Lepisosteus oculatus: one gene and its partner. The protein of the gene in region 2 interacts with the protein of the main gene of each other region in a biochemical or structural test. Links are inferred from orthologs where the notes say so. Each region holds a gene or a part of one and is shown on either strand. Other genes may lie near its edges.

Region 1 (9,328 bases), on a different chromosome or scaffold from region 2:
CTTCCAGCCACGCCGCCTGCCTCTGCACAGCCCCAAGACGGCAGAGCCAGAGCAACTTTTAATACCCCAGAGCATCCCCCAAAAAGAGAACTCCCCCCCACCCCCAAAAAAACAAATCAGCCTATTTCAGCGTCTGTTCAAGTCCCCTGTTTCGGGGTGGGTCCAATTTCAAATCCCGATGACTTTGCGACCTGTCCCGCGTTTTGGAAGATTTTGGACACCCTCCCAGGACTTTGCAGGGAGCCTCAACGCCCGAAAGGCCTGACAACGCTGACATTGTGCGGACCCCTGCAGGAGACCACCGATCCCAGTCTGCGCATAAAAATCCCCCAAATCATAAAAAATGAGGTGGCTCTCCCCACCCGCCCTCCCTGCTGTACAAACACAGTTCCCTTCCGCGGGCTCTTAACAGCCAGTCCGCTTCTGTTCGATCTCTGCCATGCATTGAAAAAAAAAAAAACAGGACTGCTCCTCGGAGTGCCGGTATGCTGTTAAACGGGCCTGAAGAAATACTGGCTTCCTGTACGAGCCACCACGCCGGACACCAACAGAAATTTTCCGGGGGCTTTTGAATGACTCTGTTCATAGCCCCCCGACTCCTGGGGGTCCCAGGGGAGTCTCGTGCGGGGGCGGAGCCCATCACACAATGTGTTTTTGTACCAGGACCCACTCCGCCGGTGCGTGTGCGTGGGGGAGGTGGGAGAGAGGGAGGGGGAGGGTGGGGGCAGTTTATTCACTTAGCAAAAAGCTGCACCTGGTGGCTCTCTGTGCCCAAAGCGACCCCTGATTCCGACTGGACTTGGGACAACGAGGAAGCAGGAATGATTGATCCTGGCCTGCCACAGCCACACACTCTTCCAGGACACCATTTTTAAATAATCAATAAATTTTACTATTTATATGGCTCCTTTAAAAATGGTCTCTCATAGTGCTTTAGAGAAAAAAAAAATTAAAAACGTTCTTTTTAAGAATGCCAAACCGCAGACATTCACACATATCATGCAGTCTCCTCTCACATGTTGGACTGATTATTCCGGATCCGAGTCCTCATGCACAACACTTCACACTTTGCTTGGTTTTCTGATGCAGTTTTTTGTTACAGTGCCATTAACCACCCTCCCCCTTTCAACAGAGAGCCATTGAGATAGGTTCGGGGGGGGGGAATTAGAGTCGCACACTACTCTGAAGCTGAACGGTCAAGCGTTCGGCCCTGCAGCCTGCGTCACGTTGATCTGCTTCCCCGCCACCTCAAACCAAGTCTCTTTGGATTGACCTCATGAGGCCTCGAACTGGACTGTAGGAGAACACCCTGCAGAGCTCTAGCCTGGGTAACTCCATGCTGGCAGATCAGACACAGTCAAAACATCCAAGAAGAGATCCGACTTTTTTAATCCAGCATCCCGAGACAGCCCCAAGTCTGTGGTAACACAACCGATTTCAAGAAACACAAGGAAGAAGTTCCTGCCTAGCGCTAAATGCTATGCACTAATTAATCTCATGGGGAGGGATATCTGCCCTCTTTTCTTGGTCTCAACAATAACTGGTTGACAGTTACCCTTTCCACGTTTTTCAGTGGTATCTGGCTGTATTTCACATGAGGTGCGTTTCTTTAAGGTTATCTTGGTCTGTATATTATCGGGGGGAGGGTTAGAAGAATCTTCCAAACTTGTCTCGTGTGTGTGAAAAGGTCACCTATCTGGAAAGAAATGGGTCCGGAGTTCGGCGTGCGAAGCCAAACTCCACAGGACTTCACTGTCAGAAAGCACCGGCTGCTCACGAAGAGCCCTCGGTGACGCACATAGTCCTTTCGTTGTTTCGCCGAGCGCTTCACAATATATAGAACTGTTTGAGAAATCAAACAAGCCCACGACCAGAGTGCTGAAAATTTTGCGGTAAACAAGGGGGGGGGTCTGCGCTCTGTGGCAGGACGGAGTGGGTGGTCTTGATAGCAGGGCGGATGGAGGAGGGAGGAGGGGGGGTCGGGCGCCACAAGTTTTAGGGGCTTTTTGTGTTAAAAGAAAAGAGTCCCGAACATCTTTCGGATAAGCTACAGCGCCTCGGCTTTCCGCAGCTGTAAGGCCGTCCTTAAAGCCCCGCCCCTCGCTGTTAATTGAGCACTCTAATTAAAACCGACACGTGCGTTTATTTGTGCAGTCAAAGCGGATAGAAAACTCGATTGCTTTATCTTGAGAACGGAGGCTGTTTATTTTTTTTTTTTTAAAAACAACCAGAATGTTTTGCTTTATTATCTGAAATTATTTTTCCAGGTGCGATTTGTATAACTAGGCATTTTCCTGCTGTCGTAATGTTTTCATCCTCGTTGCTGCTAAGTAATCGTCTTTTCTGTGACTGGTCCACCAAAAACAGCCCCAGTGTATTCATTACTCTGAACGACTTCAAGTTCACTTCGCTGCGCCAGTAATCGCGCTGCCGGCTACCCTTAGCAATGCAAATTACCCCAACTGCTGGATCAGCTGGTGTCCGAGGGCTAACAGACGCCAGACACTCCTTTACAAATGCAGTCTTGTTCGGATTCCCGCTGAGCATCGCTTAGCAAGGTGATAACACGCACACGTAGTTCCCCACATCTTGTAAACGCGGGTGGGAAATCGCCCACATTCTCCAAGAGGTGCTAGATTCCGCAGGCATCGCCACGCACAGACGCGCATCAACGCCTTTCCAACACAATTAGCTGACGTCTTGATCCAAAAAGGCTCACGACAGTCACTCCGTAGTTCCCTTTGTTAGGAAGCCCTACCACGCGGTTTTGTCGCATGATTTCCTACAATGACATCAGTAACTGGTCTTGTCGCGTTCGGGATGAAACATTTCTACATTCAAAACACAAGGCTCGCAAAGCGAAGCCGTGCGTCAGAGTTCATGAACTGGAGCGCAGCATGCAAATATCTGTGCGCTGAAGTAGACTTTCCAAACAGTGCCCAGGTGTCTGAGTCAGAACGCGGCGGATCTGCCCTTTCTCTTTCCTTACATTTCACAACCACAGAGCTTCAAATGATCTCGCACCTCTTCACGGGCCGGCTGCCTCCCTGGGTAATTATCTCCAGGCACTCTCGTTAGCATATGTACTCAGTGTGTGTGTGTGATGGGGGGTGAGCTGCCGACAACGGAGACTTGTGAAGCCCACGAAGTCAGATTCGGGTTCAGTTTTATAGAACACAGCAACGCTCTCCGGTACCTCAACCCAAGAATGACAGAAGTCCCTTTCCAAAAGAAACCGTAGGCGAAACTCGTCTTGAACAGAACAAGAGGTAGATTATGTCGCTGATGATGCACTTATTATCTGAGCGAATTTCCGTCAGGTGCCCTAATGTAAGAATAAAACTGTATCTTTAGACAAAATGTTCTACCACCCCAAATTAATAATAAAAACAGCTCCCAGGTAGCCACGGTCTAAATCTCTAGATCTCTTCACAAGTTTATTTTTTTTAACATTGCGTGTTTACCAAAACGCACCGACAGCGTCTTCAGTACTGGTTAGAAACCAATTTATTTTCAAACAAACCGGTTTACGATTTTAAAATAGGAAAAACAATACTCGAATATGGAACAAAAACACAAAAGCCATCGAATCCCAGCTTCGATCTGGGAAACTTAATATCCGAGTGCAGTAAGACGGGACTCGGTGTGCTGAGGCTCTCCAGGTGAGGTAAACCCACAGAAATATGTACCTTTTTAAAATTCCTGGGCAGTGTTCCTCCGGAGTAAGCCAGCGTCTTGTAATTGTAAACGTCCGAAGCGTTTTTGCACTTTTCCACCGTTCCGTAGGTGTCCGAGGCGGATGACTGGTAGACGTCGCCGCTGTCGTGGTGCGAAGGCAAGCGCCCTGGGTCGCTGGAGTTGACTTTCTTTAGCCTCCTGAAAGTCATGTTCTTCATGTTGGACTCCCGGTTAGCAAATAACACTAAGCTCTTTCCTGGCGGGGAAAGTTCGCGTAGCTCAGAAAACACGAGTCCTCTGTCAGTATGAGCCGCGCCGTGGACCCGGTTCCTAGCTGCCTCTACAGCTGCTTTTGAAAGCGCAGCCCCGGGAGAAACTTTTTGTGCGCAGTCTGTTATGGGCGGGGTGAGGAGGGACGTATCTCCGAGGTTCCTCTTTTTCAATGAAAGACGAAGCTTTTGTTTTCGGACTTTTAAACTCAGACCATGCTAAAAAAAAAAACACACCGCCCAGAACGCAGTCTCCTGCGAATTACAGCATTTTCTGAGGAACTAATATTTAAAACGAGTGATGTATTCCGTTGACTCTGCGGTGCTGCAGAGAGACTCGATAAAGAGTAGATCCGAATTGGCTACGATGAAACGCGTTACTGCTGTGACAGATTTGTGTTGAAACATCTTTCAAGAATGAGTTAGACGCTTAAAAACATTTCAAAAGCGACGGGGCAACACGATCTTAATATCGCCGTCGATGTCGGAATTCGCTTCTAATTGGAGTCCTGCCTTGTGATCACAGAGGTGCACAAAGAGAGGGGCTGGAGCAGAGACGAGTGACTTGGCATCGAGACGTGCTGGGTTCCCGAAGAGCTCCGGGGTTTCGCTCCACACCGCTGTAAAGCCGTTCTTCTAGAGCGCAGCAGTAAAAAATAATGCTGACGACATTTTCTTAAGCGAACGTTTCTGTTGTTCCGTTTACAGACAAAGCGCCATAGACGTACTTATCTATATAATTTCGTCATGGTCAGAATTACTATCGCAGATGTCGCTGCAAAGCCATGCCTTTGTAATATTGCCATTTGTTGCTTGATTAAAAAAAAAGTTTGATAAATACAGGTACCCGCGCGACCCTTGGGATGAGTTGCACATTCCCTTTAAAACAACAGAACTCCCCAGAAATTGAATAAAAACAACTGCATGTGTCCCTCCGAGTTGCCAGATGTTCACAGGGAGGGGGTGATGAAATGCAGTACACGGGCTCCCCCTACTGTATGTAGTCGGTAAAGACAAAAGTTGCGCTCTGAGCGTTGTTCAATTTTTAACACACGGTTTTCATTTACATTATAGACTGGAGTTTGATTACTCCGAGTTATAAAACCTCAGACACTTGAGCTAACAGCCAGACGGAGCCCCCCCGTCTCTCCTCCTTTCTCTGAGTAGTCTCATTCGTCTTCTGAGATTGTTTGCACATGTATGTAGGTTATTTTATATCTCGCACCACACCAATCGGACCGGGTAATGTGCGTTAACTGACTGCGCCAAGCAGAGAGAGTTAAAGAAAACCCTTTTTTAGGCATGCCACACCAACGCCATCTTTGACAGCTTTAAGCCGGTTTATTATGCTCGTGTTTTCCAACCACAGGACCTACGGGGTCATAAGTTAAGTACTCTATTTGGGCTGTATTTTGTGTCTGTCTTTAAGAAAAGACCGTTGTACTGTTACGCTGCGCTCAGAGCTGTTACAGAAGTATTACACATGATGTATACCTGCTTGACTTTTTAAAAAAACCTTTCCTGGTCCTGGATGGTCAGTGTGTCTGCACAGTCAGTGTGTCTGCAGGGTGTCCAGTCCTGGTCCTGGGGGGTCAGTATGTCTGCTTGGTGTCCAGTCCTTGTCCTGCAGGGTCAGTGTGTCTGCTTGGTGTCCAGCCCTGGTCCTGGGGGGTCAGTGTGTCTGCTTGGTGTCCAGTCCTTGTCCTGCAGGGTCAGTGTGTCTGCAGGGTGTCCAGTCCTGGTCCTGCAGGGTCAATGTGTCTGCAGGGTGTCCATCCTGGTCCTGCAGGATCAGTGTGTCTGCAGGTGTCCAGTCCTTGTCCTGCAGGGTCAGTGTGTCTGCAGGGTGTCCAGTCCTTGTCCTGCAGGGCAGTGTGTCTGCAGGGTGTCCAGTCCTGGTCCTGCAGGGTCAGTGTGTCTGCAGGGTGTCCAGTCCTGGTCCTGCAGGATCAGTGTGTCTGCAGGGTGACCAGTCCTGCACTGACACGGTGATGGAACTGACCTCTTGTAGTCTTGACAGAGAAGATGGTCTGAAGAGACCAGTCAGCCCACCCCAGATAGGAGCAAGATGAGTGTACGACCCTCCGGCTCAGAGCCCAGAGGAGTGGACACCAAATCCTAGAACACTAACCACCATGACCGCCCTCTGCCACCCGTTTCATCCCGCAACACCTGGGGCTCGAACCCGGGTCTCTGGCGTAACGCAACAGGGAACCAGCCGTGTGAGCTAAAGGAGACCTCCCTCAGCCCAGGCAGCTGAGGTCCCTGCTACGCCCAGGGAGGGCGATGACGTCACCGTATCCAAACTAGCTCCGCTACACCAGCAGCAACCTTAGTTTCTCCCAGGTGGCCTCCCATCGAGGGAGGCTCACACCTGCAGAGCTTCAGTGGGCTGCCAGTTATGAGCTGCAGGGCGATATGGCTGCTGGTGCTAGTCAGGTCACTAATATCAGTAGCCCAGTCTGGTCCACCAGCATCTGTGACCTGATGTCCGCCAGACCAGTGACCCGACATCCACCAGCACCAGTGACCAGTGATCCGATGTCCACCAGCACCACTGACCAGCGACCCAACGTCCTATACAACCAGTGACCTGAAGTCCACCAGCAGTATTAGCCTCCAGGGGCCAGAGATGCCCGCTGTATTATCTTTACCAACATAGAAATCAGAGACGAGACAGAAGAGCCAGCCAGGCAGCAAACTGACACAGATTCTGTATTTGATTTATTATGACACTATAAGAATGGCTCCACAGAACATCGTCTCTAAAATGCAAACCAGGCTGAGCTGAGTCTGGGGACTTCAGCGTTTGAAAAGTATACATTAGCAAACACAATAAAGTGTGGTCTACAAACCACACTTACAGTTGCTGCACGTCTATTAAGATGTTGATATCACATGATTCCCAGGAACCTGTAATAACATAAACCATGTGCATTGGCTAGACTGTCACTGCAGAGCCAAGAGCAAAAGCAAAACATATACTGTGACACCTCAGTAAATGTCTTTTATTGAGCTTCAGAACACACACAAGTAAGTATTCATTCACTACAGAAAAAAAACTAGTCATTCAGTTTTGCAAACACATCTTGTAAGGAACTAATTTAGAACCTCAAGCAAAGTTTGACATTTCTCAGAATTGTCTACATAAGGATCTTCTCGGAACACAGAATCGTGGTTCCAAACAGCTTCTCGGATCACACAGCGAGATGTAATTCTGCCTGCTGTTGGTTCTTTACTGTACGACCGACCTCCAAATTTCTAGACAACCCCTTTCATTTTATCTTTTCCTCTTCTTGTTCTGGTTTAAATTGAATTCAGCAGCTAATTAAAGCCATCAAACACAGACCGTTATGATAGTTTTTTGAAGATTTTAATACACAGTGGTTTGATTTTACATGCTCAGCACATCAAAACTACCAAAGCAACAGGGTGTTCTAATAAATTCGCTGACTACTGTAGCACAAATCTGGATTCAGTTCACAGAGCAGCTATAGAACAGTACAGAGACTGTTTGAGTCCAATGAGTAAAAGCTAAACTATTTCCTCATGACCTTTTCTTGTTCTGCCCAGTAAATGTTCCACAAAAAAACACCTTCTAAAAAGATTTTAAACAACTGGATGCTAGGGGAAGCAATTGAGCGTCACTCAAAGCTGAAAAGTTCATGAATGACTGAATATTTAAGACTTGATAATCACTGTAATCCGGAAACGACAAGGGGACGTTTTTCCATGTTGCACAAGACCAAAGTCTTAAGGCACAGCAACCTCTGAAGTAAAAGTGCAACTAAGCCTCACCACCCAGCTGCAGGATAGTCTATTTACCTTTTACATTTCAGACAAAAAAAGTCTGAGGGACTGATTAAATTATCTCCTTGCATTACAGCAATTTGGTGCTGGCATTCATTAATCGGTTCAGATCTCTCTGCTACCACCTACATTAAATAAAAGGAACCATGCACACTTCCTCCAAAACATGCATTGTCTTTTTTCACACTACAGCCATACAGCACAAACAACAAGGAGCAGGATGCAGGATTGACACAATTCTCACTTTTGCAGGTATGCAGGACCCCAGCCAGCCACAGGGGGGCGCTGTCAAGCTGTAAACGGGAAAAAAGTCATGTCGAAAGTTAAACTTTACACTGATCTGCCAGTGTCTAAGAAATAGCATGCTGTACCTTTGGTAGTACCAGTTTTGTTTTGACTACCGACAACCAGACCAGGGTCTGACGGAATGTTTTTATCTGTCGCACCAGTATTAAATAAGAGGTCTGCTATGAGCAGCGTGTGCACTGGGAAGACACCTGTCTGACTCTACAACCACTATAAATATCACATCCACCCTTGCCTGCACCGTCTCTCTGTAAGTACAAGAATAGCAGACAATGCATTTCAATTATTTCAGAAACAACTGGAAAACACAAGAAAAGGCCACTGACAGGACAGCATCACTGTAACACCAACTGGAGATAAAAGCAAGAAAAGAGGATGAAACCAAAGTGTCCTGGAAATTCCCAATCCCGAATCCAGTCCGCGTGCCGTCATGATCCAACAATCCCATTGAATGCCGACTACAGCTCATGTAGGAATTTCACCTGTGCACTACAAGGTAGGGTCCGGAATTCTGTTTGGAAATACTTCGGGAATACTTTTGCACAGTCTGGGTGAACTATATGAAATCAAAACCTGGAATAAAGGGCGCTTGCAAGTGGCCGGGTTAGTGGCATTGAGGAGCTGCAAGTCGGAGGGTTAGCACAATGAATACGTGGCTGACCCTTTTCTCTGTTTGAAATGTTGGGATCTGTCTTTGAGGAGGTTTTCCCCTCTACGCTGATCAGAGTGGAAACAGCCATCATGCCATGATGTGACTGGGGGCTTAATTTCTGGGGAAAAAAAGAGAGTAAAGGGGTGTGTGCCGTCTGTCCGTCTCTCTCGCCGAGCCCCCCTGATGACGTGGGACAGGGGTGGGGGGACGGGAGGCCGTGCCTGTCGCAGTCCCAGGGGTTAACTCTCGGGGGCGCTCTTCTTCAGGTGGAAGAAACTGGAGGAGCGAGGAGGAGGTGCCATCAGCATATTGGCCTGGTTCTTGTGGGTGATGTGGATCTGGGGAAAGAAGCCCAGGCAGGTCATGTCAGAACGGGCACCCGTAAGCCAAAAACACGGACGGATCGTCACGACCGGTTCTTCGTTCTTCACTTGGGATAAAAAAAATGAGTCCTTGGCTAGGGGTTATCTGACCACTCGAGAACGGGTGTTAAGAGGTGCCACTTTCCCACTGCAGAGCGGGTGAGGACGCTGGCCCTCGGCTCTGCTTCTTCATTTCACCCAGTGATGGAAAAGGCTGTTGCACACGGGTCCGATAAAAAAAGCACAAGTAA
Region 2 (10,490 bases):
TATGAAGATGACCAAGCAGCAAACAACTTTGAAGGACAACATTCATAAAATATAAAACACCACACACATAAACTTCAATTTATGTGCATTACACAGTATCCTTCTGTGTAAGGAATGCAAGTTACTTCTGTTAAACGCCATGTTAAACTGATGCTCCTATTTAAATGCCATCTGCAGAAAAACCTTCCTTAGTTCCATTCAAAAGTAGTCTTCTGTTACTCTTTACAACATACAAGCAAAGCAAAGAAAATGGAACAACTTAATATCGCACCCACGTTTCCAAAGTTCAAAATGATTTCTGCCTGTATAAACAGGCAAATAAAGATTAAAGCATCTACAGATCTTGTTACTTGTTGCTGGTGAATTACAGATTCAGTAAACCAAAGTTGCAGGAGGTTAGTAAACTCCTAGTCTAGAAAACCAGGGAGTGGTACAGTATGTTAGTCACATTCTGTATCAGAGTTTCATTCTGTCAAGTGTGGAAAAGTACAAGCAAGCAGAACTGAAAAAGGACAAAATGTGTGAATGAGTGTTTGGTCATCTGGCTGGCACCCGCCTGAGCTCAGCCAAGCGTCTGTGCCGGTAGACAAACTGAGACAGAGTGTGATGATCAAGTGACAAGCTGCAGTCAGAAGGAAACCCCCAAGTATTTTTTTTTTCATTTTTAAGTGGGAAGACACTCCAAACTTTAATCCCTTTCACTATTTCTGACAATCTGAAGTAAGCAAGGGGAATTCCATGCACTTTAGAGAAAGATCCCCTTGCTCTGCAAAGGCAATAAATTCAACAGGGATATGTCTTCCTAGGCTTGACAATTTCAGACACCTTGGGAGCCCTGAATAGTACTGATGCTTACCGGGATAGGCTCCAGCTCCCCCATGACCCTGAACTGGATAAATTGGTTAGAAAACGAATGAATGGATGGACGATCAAGCCTTCTACTCAAGTCAACTGTTTCATGGGAAACAGACTTCCGGTGTTATTAATCTTAGGAACAAACAGTATCTTTATTCTGAATAGAGGGATTTACAATGATATCATTTCTGGCTTTGCACCAGCTTTCCAAATTCACGGCCCACTTTTCAGAATTACTCTCCAGTATTATCATGCTCCTTTTTGCTAACATGTCGAACTCAGGGGGCTAAATGGTTCTCACACCTACAAAATGGCATTTGGAGTGAAGTCATTGCCGTCATTTCTTATCCTGTATAGCAATTAAGGTTATAAATAAAAACGTGGCTGGAGGCGATACAGAATTTCCACTAATTTCTGCCACATTCTGGGGAGTACTATTCTCAATCGAAGGGAAAATAATGGCTAATGTTCTGACGAACATTTGGAATACTTGGAACAACATATACAATATGAATTATCCTGTATAAAGAAGGTATGAAAAGAGGAGTATTGGCGTCATACACAAGGCTTAAATGATCAGAAAACACTTTGTTGCAGCATATTCATTGCAGACAAAAGTCCCTTTTCGGCTGGGTAGAAAATATGCATACCTCTTCTAACAAAATCATTTAAAAACATTTAGGGGTAATTTTTGCTTGCACAAGATGCATGATGGAAAAAGAAGAAGTATTTGTACACTACAGTCCAACCTACAGTACTCTAAAAATTCTATGCAACTACGACACTTCCTGCAAGTCGCTTGACAGTACTCTTGGCGTGAGTATTAGGTTTAAGGTCCTGGTAGTGGACCACATTACTTGGGACACATGGACACTGCTTATAATATATCAGCCTGTCTTTTGGGTGAAGAAAAATATTTCAACTTGAAGTTAAAACAAAACCAGAAAGTATTAGGCAGACGGACACAGAGTTATACATCATGCTATGTTATGAATTCCACAAATACTATTTGGCATACATGTCATTTGGCAGCTATGGCAAGAAACTGCAGTTATCTACAATATAGTGGCAAGCAATGATTTATACAGTTTAAAAACGTCTTCAATATGCAGGCCCTTTTATAGCTTCAGTGCCATGATCATGTGACAATGTTTAACCAATGAAAGGCCTTTATCATTCTGTATGATTAATAGGGTGTACCTGTACTTTATTACCAACCACAATGCAACTCAAGATTTAATGAATGCCATGGCCTCCAGTCATGTATCACAGTAATGAAGGTAAAAACCTGAATGAAAACAGGCCAGATGCAATATTAATAACCCAAACAAGGGAAACTGAGAAACTTTATAATAAGATAAAAGGCAAATGCAGAGGGTTGTACAGTATGTGCTCCAGTGTTTACATAACGTGATGCTCTAATTAGTCTTTTGTGACAAATACAGTAGGTAGAAAAAGCTTCTGGTGGGCATCATCACATAGCAGATGCTGTTACTTTATCAGGAGCTCAAATCTACTTCCAGTCCAGTCATCTTGCATGAATGGAAAAATACTAAAATGTAAAGGATTATTAGACTTTTAATGGAATTTTATACTAGATGGTTACTTTACAATATTTTCCAACTGGATACATATCCTGCTACACAACACACCTGACACTGTTGCAGGTTTTGCTTAGATCCGTATCAGCCCTGCGTGTGTACGTTTCCTACTAAAATGTTGTAACACCGCACTTGTGAAATTTTGTGAAGTTGCTTCAAAACAAATCTCAGGGTTGGCATTAATTATCCAATCCCCACACACAAATAAGCGCTTGCAACTAGTTTAGAGGGAAGCAAATTAATGTTGCACACTGCCTGTTAAGTTCCTGCTTTAGAAATTGGTTTTGATGGAACTGCCAGAAAGCATAATAAAAACCCTAGAAAAGTATAACATTTCAAGGAGTATTTATTGGGTGTGAAATAAGTCAGAGACAGCATTAAAATTAATATACAGTATATGTATACTATTCTTCAGTACTCACTAGAAAGTCAATGCTTTTAGGAATTCCTGAAAAAAATATGTGTTTTATCACGGTACAGGAATTCTATAGCGGACTCAACGATCACGGAATATAGATCACAGTACTGTAGTCCTAGAGGTTTCCTACTTCTGCTGTGACTGGAGACTTTGAAATGACTTCTGAGACAGTTTGCTGCTACGGCCACATTCTCTCGAAATAATTTCAAACAATGATCTCGGGTGTCTACAGTACGTCTCACTCCACTCAGTGTCCCGACAGAAATCCAGACTGCAGTATTTCTCAACACACGTGATGAGCAAGGATAAATGTCAAAACCTGTGTATTGTCTTGCAAAAAAGAAAACTACAGCTGGTGTGTCATGAATTCTAAAAACACAACCCTTAACTATGCTAAGGGCAAAAAGAATGAAAAATTACTCGTTCGAACTACACATTTTGACAACTGTCCTGATGTGTTTATGACGAATTTGATGTTTTTCATTGGAGCAAACGCTGGCCAAACATCATGGAAACAAATTCAAGTCATGCCGTCTTACATTTCTTTTAAAGAGATCATTCTGACCCAGCTCACTTTTGTGTTATCTAAGGTGTTAAGAACAAAGGGATTGTTGCAATTCTTTCCCTTAAACATAGTTACCGACATTTGCATTACGTTTATGCTAACTTAATGGACAAGACAGATTCCAACAAGGTGAGTCATACCCGTATGTATCTTGCTTTAAAAAGAAATGTTATGGGTGTGAAAAACCATAAAAGGACGCAGTAATTTAACTGTTCGTCTCTTAAGTCAACTTTAATTTTAAAATAACAAGCACCTAAAAACAAACAAAAAACTATCGTTTAGGTCGCACGCAAACTGGACAAATAACAGAAAACAGCAAAGGTAATTTAGCCATTTGCGTTGTAGTCATCATTTTATTTACAGGCTTGATCGATGTCGTTTACTTTAGGCTAGAAAAGCCTAAGAAACTACAGAAATATACATTATAGGCTTAACTGACACATACTAACCGGTCCTTCAGCGGATGCCTCTCTGTTAAGAGAATCATAAACCGTAGGGAATTGTTATCTGCTTCAGACATTGACAGCAATATAATAAGAATTTTTAAAAACGACTTGGGAAAATGAGAATCAATGAGAAACCCACTGAGACGTGGTCGGCTAGTCCCAGATTAACATTTGGTTTACAAGATGATTTCTCACGCTGAAGAGAAAACTATACACTGTATCTCTTTCTGCCTTTTTCAGTAATGCAGGGCTACCACAGACTGTCATTGATCCTGTTCTAAATGCCAAGTATCCGGATCGGTTTAGGCAAGACAGAAGAGAATAAGTTACTCACCTATTCGGGTTCTTTATATCCTTTTGGTAGCCTTGGTCTCAAATGCGACGTGTTCCTTTTGAATGAAGTCCGAGGTGTTACTGTTACTCCGTCATCCAAAGAAACACACACACACACAAAAAGACAACCGATACGGCACGCAGGGCTAAGAGCAGAAACGAAATGCTAGGAGTGATCTGAAATCCCATTCAAGAGATCGGAGGGCTGCAGCGAGGTCATTGCGGGGATTGCCTGGGGAAAAAAAAAAACAGCACCGATTTTGAGTGCTGAATTCAACTTTTATAAAATCCAAGAGATTACAAAAGGCAAGGAGATATCCACCTCCCGAATGCCTTGCCTAATAAACACATGGATCTGGGGGAAAATGGGAAAAAAAAGAAAATAGTTTATTACGGGAGATCAATCTTTTGCGCAGCAGCGCAGTGCGCTGCCTAATCACATATGGTGAAAAACAGACCTTGGCTGAAGGAGGCAGACAGCGAGACCATTCGCAAGGCTGGGAGCGAAAGGGGAGGTAGGATCGGCCGAAGGGCGCTACGGAATCGGCGTAAAAGGCTCCCAGCTGGTGTGGCTGGGCGGCTATCCCACTGCTGCCTGCGTACGATCTTTTAAGAATCGGAAGAAGCCAATGGATTTTAGAAGGAGGGGGTTTGGGAATTTACATATAAAACAACCCCGCCTAGTGGACACCAAAGGGGAACGCTGCTTCCCAGAAAGGATGGCCTTGCTGGTGCCCATATATGAACACCTTGATGTGACACGTTATATATAGGCTGGGGGAACGCCTGTGCATGACACTATAGCGCTGCCAGAAAAAAAAAAAGACAGATTTTTCGAAGTTCGTGTTTCTGATGACACAGGATTGTGGGTGACTGGCTTTCAGGGGTTTGGACTGTACAGTTGTAGGCGAGAGACTGAACATAAAAATAAATCAGGAGCACTGACGGAACTTGGATGGATCGTGGCTAGTGGATTTTATACATTCCAAAGCAATCTGAGCCGCTGGCCCTGTAATTGACCATTTCTGGACAAACAGAGTACTGCGCACATAGCTTTGCCATACACACAGGCACAAAATGTATTTTTAGGAAGAATGAGACAGTAATTAATCAGCAGTAAGGTTCTGTTAAATACCAAAGTTCCTGCTGTGAATCTGTGGACTTCATACAACAACAATAAAAATCTGATTCTGATACACTCACCAAATGTCCAAAAAATGTTTCCAGAGTGAAGAGAATGCAAAGTTAAGCCAACTGAATGAATTTATGTGTTCATTTTTAGAACAGAGAGGAGGAAGCGTTCTGGGCCCAGGTTCAGTGTTACTGTGTAACAGTGCTTCAGTGTAAGTGAATGTCAAAATGAAATAGGAAGGAGAGGTGTGGCACTCCTGTAGGTTTTATCCCAAATCAGGAATGACAGAATGAGTCAGCAGAGTATGAACAAAAGATTACCTGATGTACAGCGGGCTGGGTCTCAGGATCAGCCTTCCATTAAGAAATATCTTGCCATTGAGAAATGTATAAGACTTAGATCATTCCTTAATAGATACCTTTATCCACAGTTACTTATGTACAATACATGTATGATTGTGGCCCAGTTGTTTAGGGCAGTAATGAAAATGACTGCTTTGGAACTGACCACTCAGTTGGAGGTATGATACCCAGCCACCTTGTCAATGGTGATACCATCACTCCTTTCAGGCAACTGGATAAGATACTTTGATACAGAAAAAAACACAAGAGTAACAGAATGGGCCACATGGCCTCCCCTTGTTTGTAACCCTTATTTCCTGATGACTCTGCTCATGGAGGTGACAGCAGCCATCCAGCCATCTTCTTATCCAGCACCGGGGCACGCTGGGAGCTGGAGCCAAATCCGGCAAGCAGTGGGCACGAGGCAGCATAATTCCTGGAAGGAACGTGCTAGTCGTTCTCAGGGCACACACACCAGGGCCAGGTTTTATAGAAGCCAATCAATCGGCTGGCATGTCTTTGGACGGTGAGAGGAAACCGGAACACCTGGAGGAAATCCATGTGAACCCAGGACCCCAGCACTGTGAGACAGCAATGCGAACCACTGGTCCACTCCTGACTGTGACCACTTTTGAAGATTGGAATGTAACACCATAAAAATGCTATTTGTTCAAAGGGCACAAAACTGAGCCAAAGTAAACACGCTTCAGTAACCTTTAACACCTGCCTATGCATTGATAATGCACAGACTGATTAACAGGACCATTTTATTACATAGATAATACAGTTCCTCTCTTCTGGCAGTAATATGTTTGATCTAAATTGTACCTAAACAAGCATCACTCTAAAGGTGAATACTTGTACTGTGCAAGTTTTATTCAGCCTTTCCATAAATTACAGAACTGTGCAGAGATTTATTATCATTTCTCATATGGGGGTTAGATTATGTTAGTAATAGTTCATTTGCATTATTCTAGTATAAAGACATTCTAGTCTAGATGAGTTCCATAACCAACAGACTCTATTAACACAGTAATAACATCATGTCCATTTAGACAAATGACAACGGAAGTATTTTAACAGAAAAGGCCTTTTCCATTCCAAAGGGGATGATGATGCAAATTCCAAAAGATCAGTGGCCCTGTAAATAAACCTTAGAGAAACTGACAATGTAAATTAGTTACGCATGTATACTCTATGTATACGAACACCTACAAGTTACCTGGTGTATCCACCTTTCTAAAATTTTGTAAGCAGAATCCGCACATGGTATATAACTGTGGACCTCATGTTAATGTTTAGCTTCCATATTTTAAGATTTCCAAGTTGAGACATGTAGTTTAAAAATACCAACTACTCCAGAATCCCCCTTCTGTTTGACAGGGTGTTTTTTTTTTTGAAGCTATGGATGTGAATGTCACGTTCACATAGGAAAGAATGTTCTTAAATCACTTGGAGCTACATATTGTCAAGAGTGACACTGGACTGTGAAAAAGCATGGCAATAAATTGTTTGTGCAGTGGCATTTGAGCAGTCTCAAACCAGGCTTCCTCCCCGCATGCAGACAGGACAGATTCTAAATCCATGTGAAATTACAATTACACAGACTCATGCTCTAGAAACCAGAAGTTGAACGCTGCTGCAAGATACCAACCCCCATCGGAACTGTGTGCCTTCGCTTTTTCAAACTGAGCTCCTCTCGGATACAGTTCCAGATCTGCAATGACATTAATTTTTGCTCACCCTTCCCGGCTACATTGTTTGGCTCTCAAAATAAAAGTGAAAAAACCTGCACGAGTCTAAAAGCACAAAACAAAGCTTTGCCAGACTTTAATAAGGAGAAACACAAAAATGGGTAGAAAAATTCTCAAGGCGGAATTTATTTCCTTAGTGTTCCATACATTTACAGGAAAACATCTCAGCTTGTACCGCACATCAGACACTAAGGAAGCGAGTTCAGTCTTGCCTCAGTTTCTTTAGCGCTTTTGTGCACAGACATGATGCCACAAGAAAAAAAAAGGAAATCAAAATGTGAAGAGATTCACTCTAGGAACAAGGCATGCAATGGCGGATGTTAATATTACATACATTTTTTTTAAAAAGGGAGTAAATGCCGGCACACAAAAAACATCAAGCCCCAGACAGAGCAAAAAGTGTTTTGCAATATGTAAAAAAACAATGCCGTGACACATTCTGAAGGAGAAATGTAACAAACAAGACTAAGTTGAGGAGAGCATAAACAAAGCCCACGTTAAACACAGTGATTTTCTTACAGCTGTGCACACAACAAGAATGGTAGTAAAATAAACTGTTCCAAACCTTTTCAAAGAGGTTTTACACCAGTGTTCAAGAGCTTAAAATGCATTGTCTGGAGATTTCACAGAGTTTAGGTCAAGTGTAGATAGTACTGTACCTAAACATTACTTGTAAATGATAATACAAGGACAAGTAGTGGCTCCAATGGGTATTTGTCAACCAAATGTAAAAATACCTATTAGAAAAACCGTACGTGCACTTTGCGTACTATTTTGAGTCGCAAGATTACTTGTGCTTGGACGCTGCATTCCTAAGTATGCAATATTCAGTTATCATTCTCATGCATCTCCTATATATGGACAGGTGTAGTGAAAATGCTGGTTGGGGCCACTATATTTAAAGCACCCAATTAAAAATATATTATGTGAAAGGCCTGCCCAAGCACAACGTACTAAACCCAGGGAAGCACACAAAAGCTTTCAGAAGGAAATGATTTTGCTTCAAGTCTCTTCCATGTCCAGAATGCTTGGGAATGGACTGTTCAAACAAAGGGTCCAAATATTTGGTTTGAAAAGACTACTGAAGCCAACAACGAAAAAACAATGCCCACGTACGTAGGCCACAGTTAGTGAGAGCATGTGGTATGTCAATACCAGGAAGTTTCAGCTGGTCAGAGTCAAGGCTGCTATGCAGTGGTAAACAGATGACGATTGGCTTTAGTAGCATGAGAAAGTCTGAAACAGGTCTGTAACAGGTTCACGTGATAAAAAGTGAAAACGGCGTGCACAGGCCAGCGAAAGGTTTCATTCTGAGCTCTGAAGGGCTGCCTTCTGCAGATTCTTGGAATTTCACAGAAGCACTCCACTTCACCCCTTTCCTTGTGTGCTTCAGCTCATTCTTTACCTCTGGAATTTCCATTCACACTGCAAGCCAAAGCCCTAAGTGAGGTGCTGCAGAGCACAGGCAAAACATGACACCTAGGACTCAGCTCCTCCCCCACAGAGACTGTGGGCTTTCTGGAGACCACCCCCTTCACAGCCGGAGGAAACAGAGGTGTCCAACTCCACCCTGCCCTTGGCCTCAATATTAACCCCCTGTGCATGAAAAGGATTTCACTTTTTATCTATTTGAGATCGCTCAGCCGCCCTGTCACAAATCTGTCTCCTTGGCCTGACACAGCCACTTCCGATGCTCCTCCTAACTGCGATCTCACACGCGGGCACAGCCCCTGCGCCAGGTCATCTCTTTTTCTTGCTCTCCTTCTTCAGCTTCTGTCGCAGCTGGGGGGCGGGTCCTTTGGGTTTCTTGCTCTGCTCCGCACTGCGCGCATCATGGGGCTCAGCGTCCTGCAGGGGCAAAAGCACAGGCATTGAAGGACAGACCACGGACATGAAGGGGTAGAAAAGCCATCTGTAACCCATACGAGCTTCTCTTAGAACCTCTGAAGGTCAACCTTCACTTTTTCAGGTTTTCAGTGCAGGTGGTAGACAGCTCAAAAGAACAATAAGATCTGCTAGCGTGTTTAAGTTTCAAACAACGGTCTTGGCTCTGGTGTTTCAGGACGTTCGTAGGTAATACACATCAGCAGATGGGCTTGCACTCCTGCCTCCTTTCATGAGCTGGGAGATGGGCTAGCGACGGGCTCATAACAGCACACCAGTATACGATATGATACGCATGTTTTACACTTCACTTTTAACCAGATAATCTTGAATACAAAAAGTGTGAAGGGTTTATTATCTTCACCTTTATAAACAATACATAAACACACAAAACTACAGTTGTTAATTATGGGCTCATTTAAATGTGTTCAAACAAGGCTTAAAGGGAGCGTAAAAGGAAAAAATGTTAAACATCAGACATCCAACAGCAGGTGAAGCAATTCCTTTGCTCTGTGAATGTTTACAGTGATGATAATTGAGGGAAAAATCTGTACACAACTGCGACCATTAGATTATTATTAGCAAAAATCATAATATGGCTCAGCTATATTGTTGAAAGTGATTCTCTGGCATCCTCAAAGTGCAAAATGCACCAATGCCATAAAACAAACAGAACCTGTACCGTTGACCGATACCTCCCATTCTGGATGTGTAACAACATGATGCCAGAGAAACTCTTGACTTTGGGGATGTCGAACCGATGGGGACTCGAACGCTGGCTGCGGGTTATAAAAGCAAGCACAATCCCGCCTTGCAAAAGATACCAACTCTCAGACTCTCACATATTCCTCTCATGATGCCTTTGGGAAGTATATATATTCAAACAGCTTCACTGACCTTCATCATACAAAACATGAAAACACAATCTGGAAATTCATTTCAAAAGGAGTTGGCCGTACATCATATGGTCAATGTGAGCATAACATTATGTGCAAAAACAATCGGTTTATTGGGGGGGGAGGGTACTCAAGGCATTTTCCTTTTACTAATTAAGATCCTTAATTTTAAGGATTAATCTTATTATTTGATCTATTACCAACATAACTGTTAAAACACTATTTACTTCATATTTGATCCTTCTTAAATACTGCCCTCTAGTGG

What was found.
Region 1: of the proteins of src (region 2) and tamalin, one has a biochemical effect on the other in vitro, tested with the Homo sapiens proteins (2 studies listed by BioGRID and IntAct, with this or other methods). The link is inferred for Lepisosteus oculatus from reciprocal best matches to the Homo sapiens genes SRC and TAMALIN.

What each region holds. Positions count from the first base shown.
Region 1 is NC_090696.1:15,727,531-15,736,858, forward strand, and holds the start of tamalin (general receptor for phosphoinositides 1-associated scaffold protein), read right to left. Parts: upstream 4,535-9,328; 5' UTR 3,897-4,534; coding exon 3,690-3,896; intron 1-3,689. Other genes in the region: dgkaa (diacylglycerol kinase, alpha a), read right to left, coding at 8,955-9,053. UniProt on the Homo sapiens protein: Plays a role in intracellular trafficking and contributes to the macromolecular organization of group 1 metabotropic glutamate receptors (mGluRs) at synapses.
Region 2 is NC_090711.1:12,029,382-12,039,871, reverse strand, and holds the start of src (proto-oncogene tyrosine-protein kinase Src), read right to left. Parts: upstream 4,775-10,490; 5' UTR 4,220-4,774; intron 1-4,219. Other genes in the region: protein MANBAL, read right to left, coding at 9,186-9,293. UniProt on the Homo sapiens protein: Non-receptor protein tyrosine kinase which is activated following engagement of many different classes of cellular receptors including immune response receptors, integrins and other adhesion receptors, receptor protein tyrosine kinases, G protein-coupled receptors as well as cytokine receptors.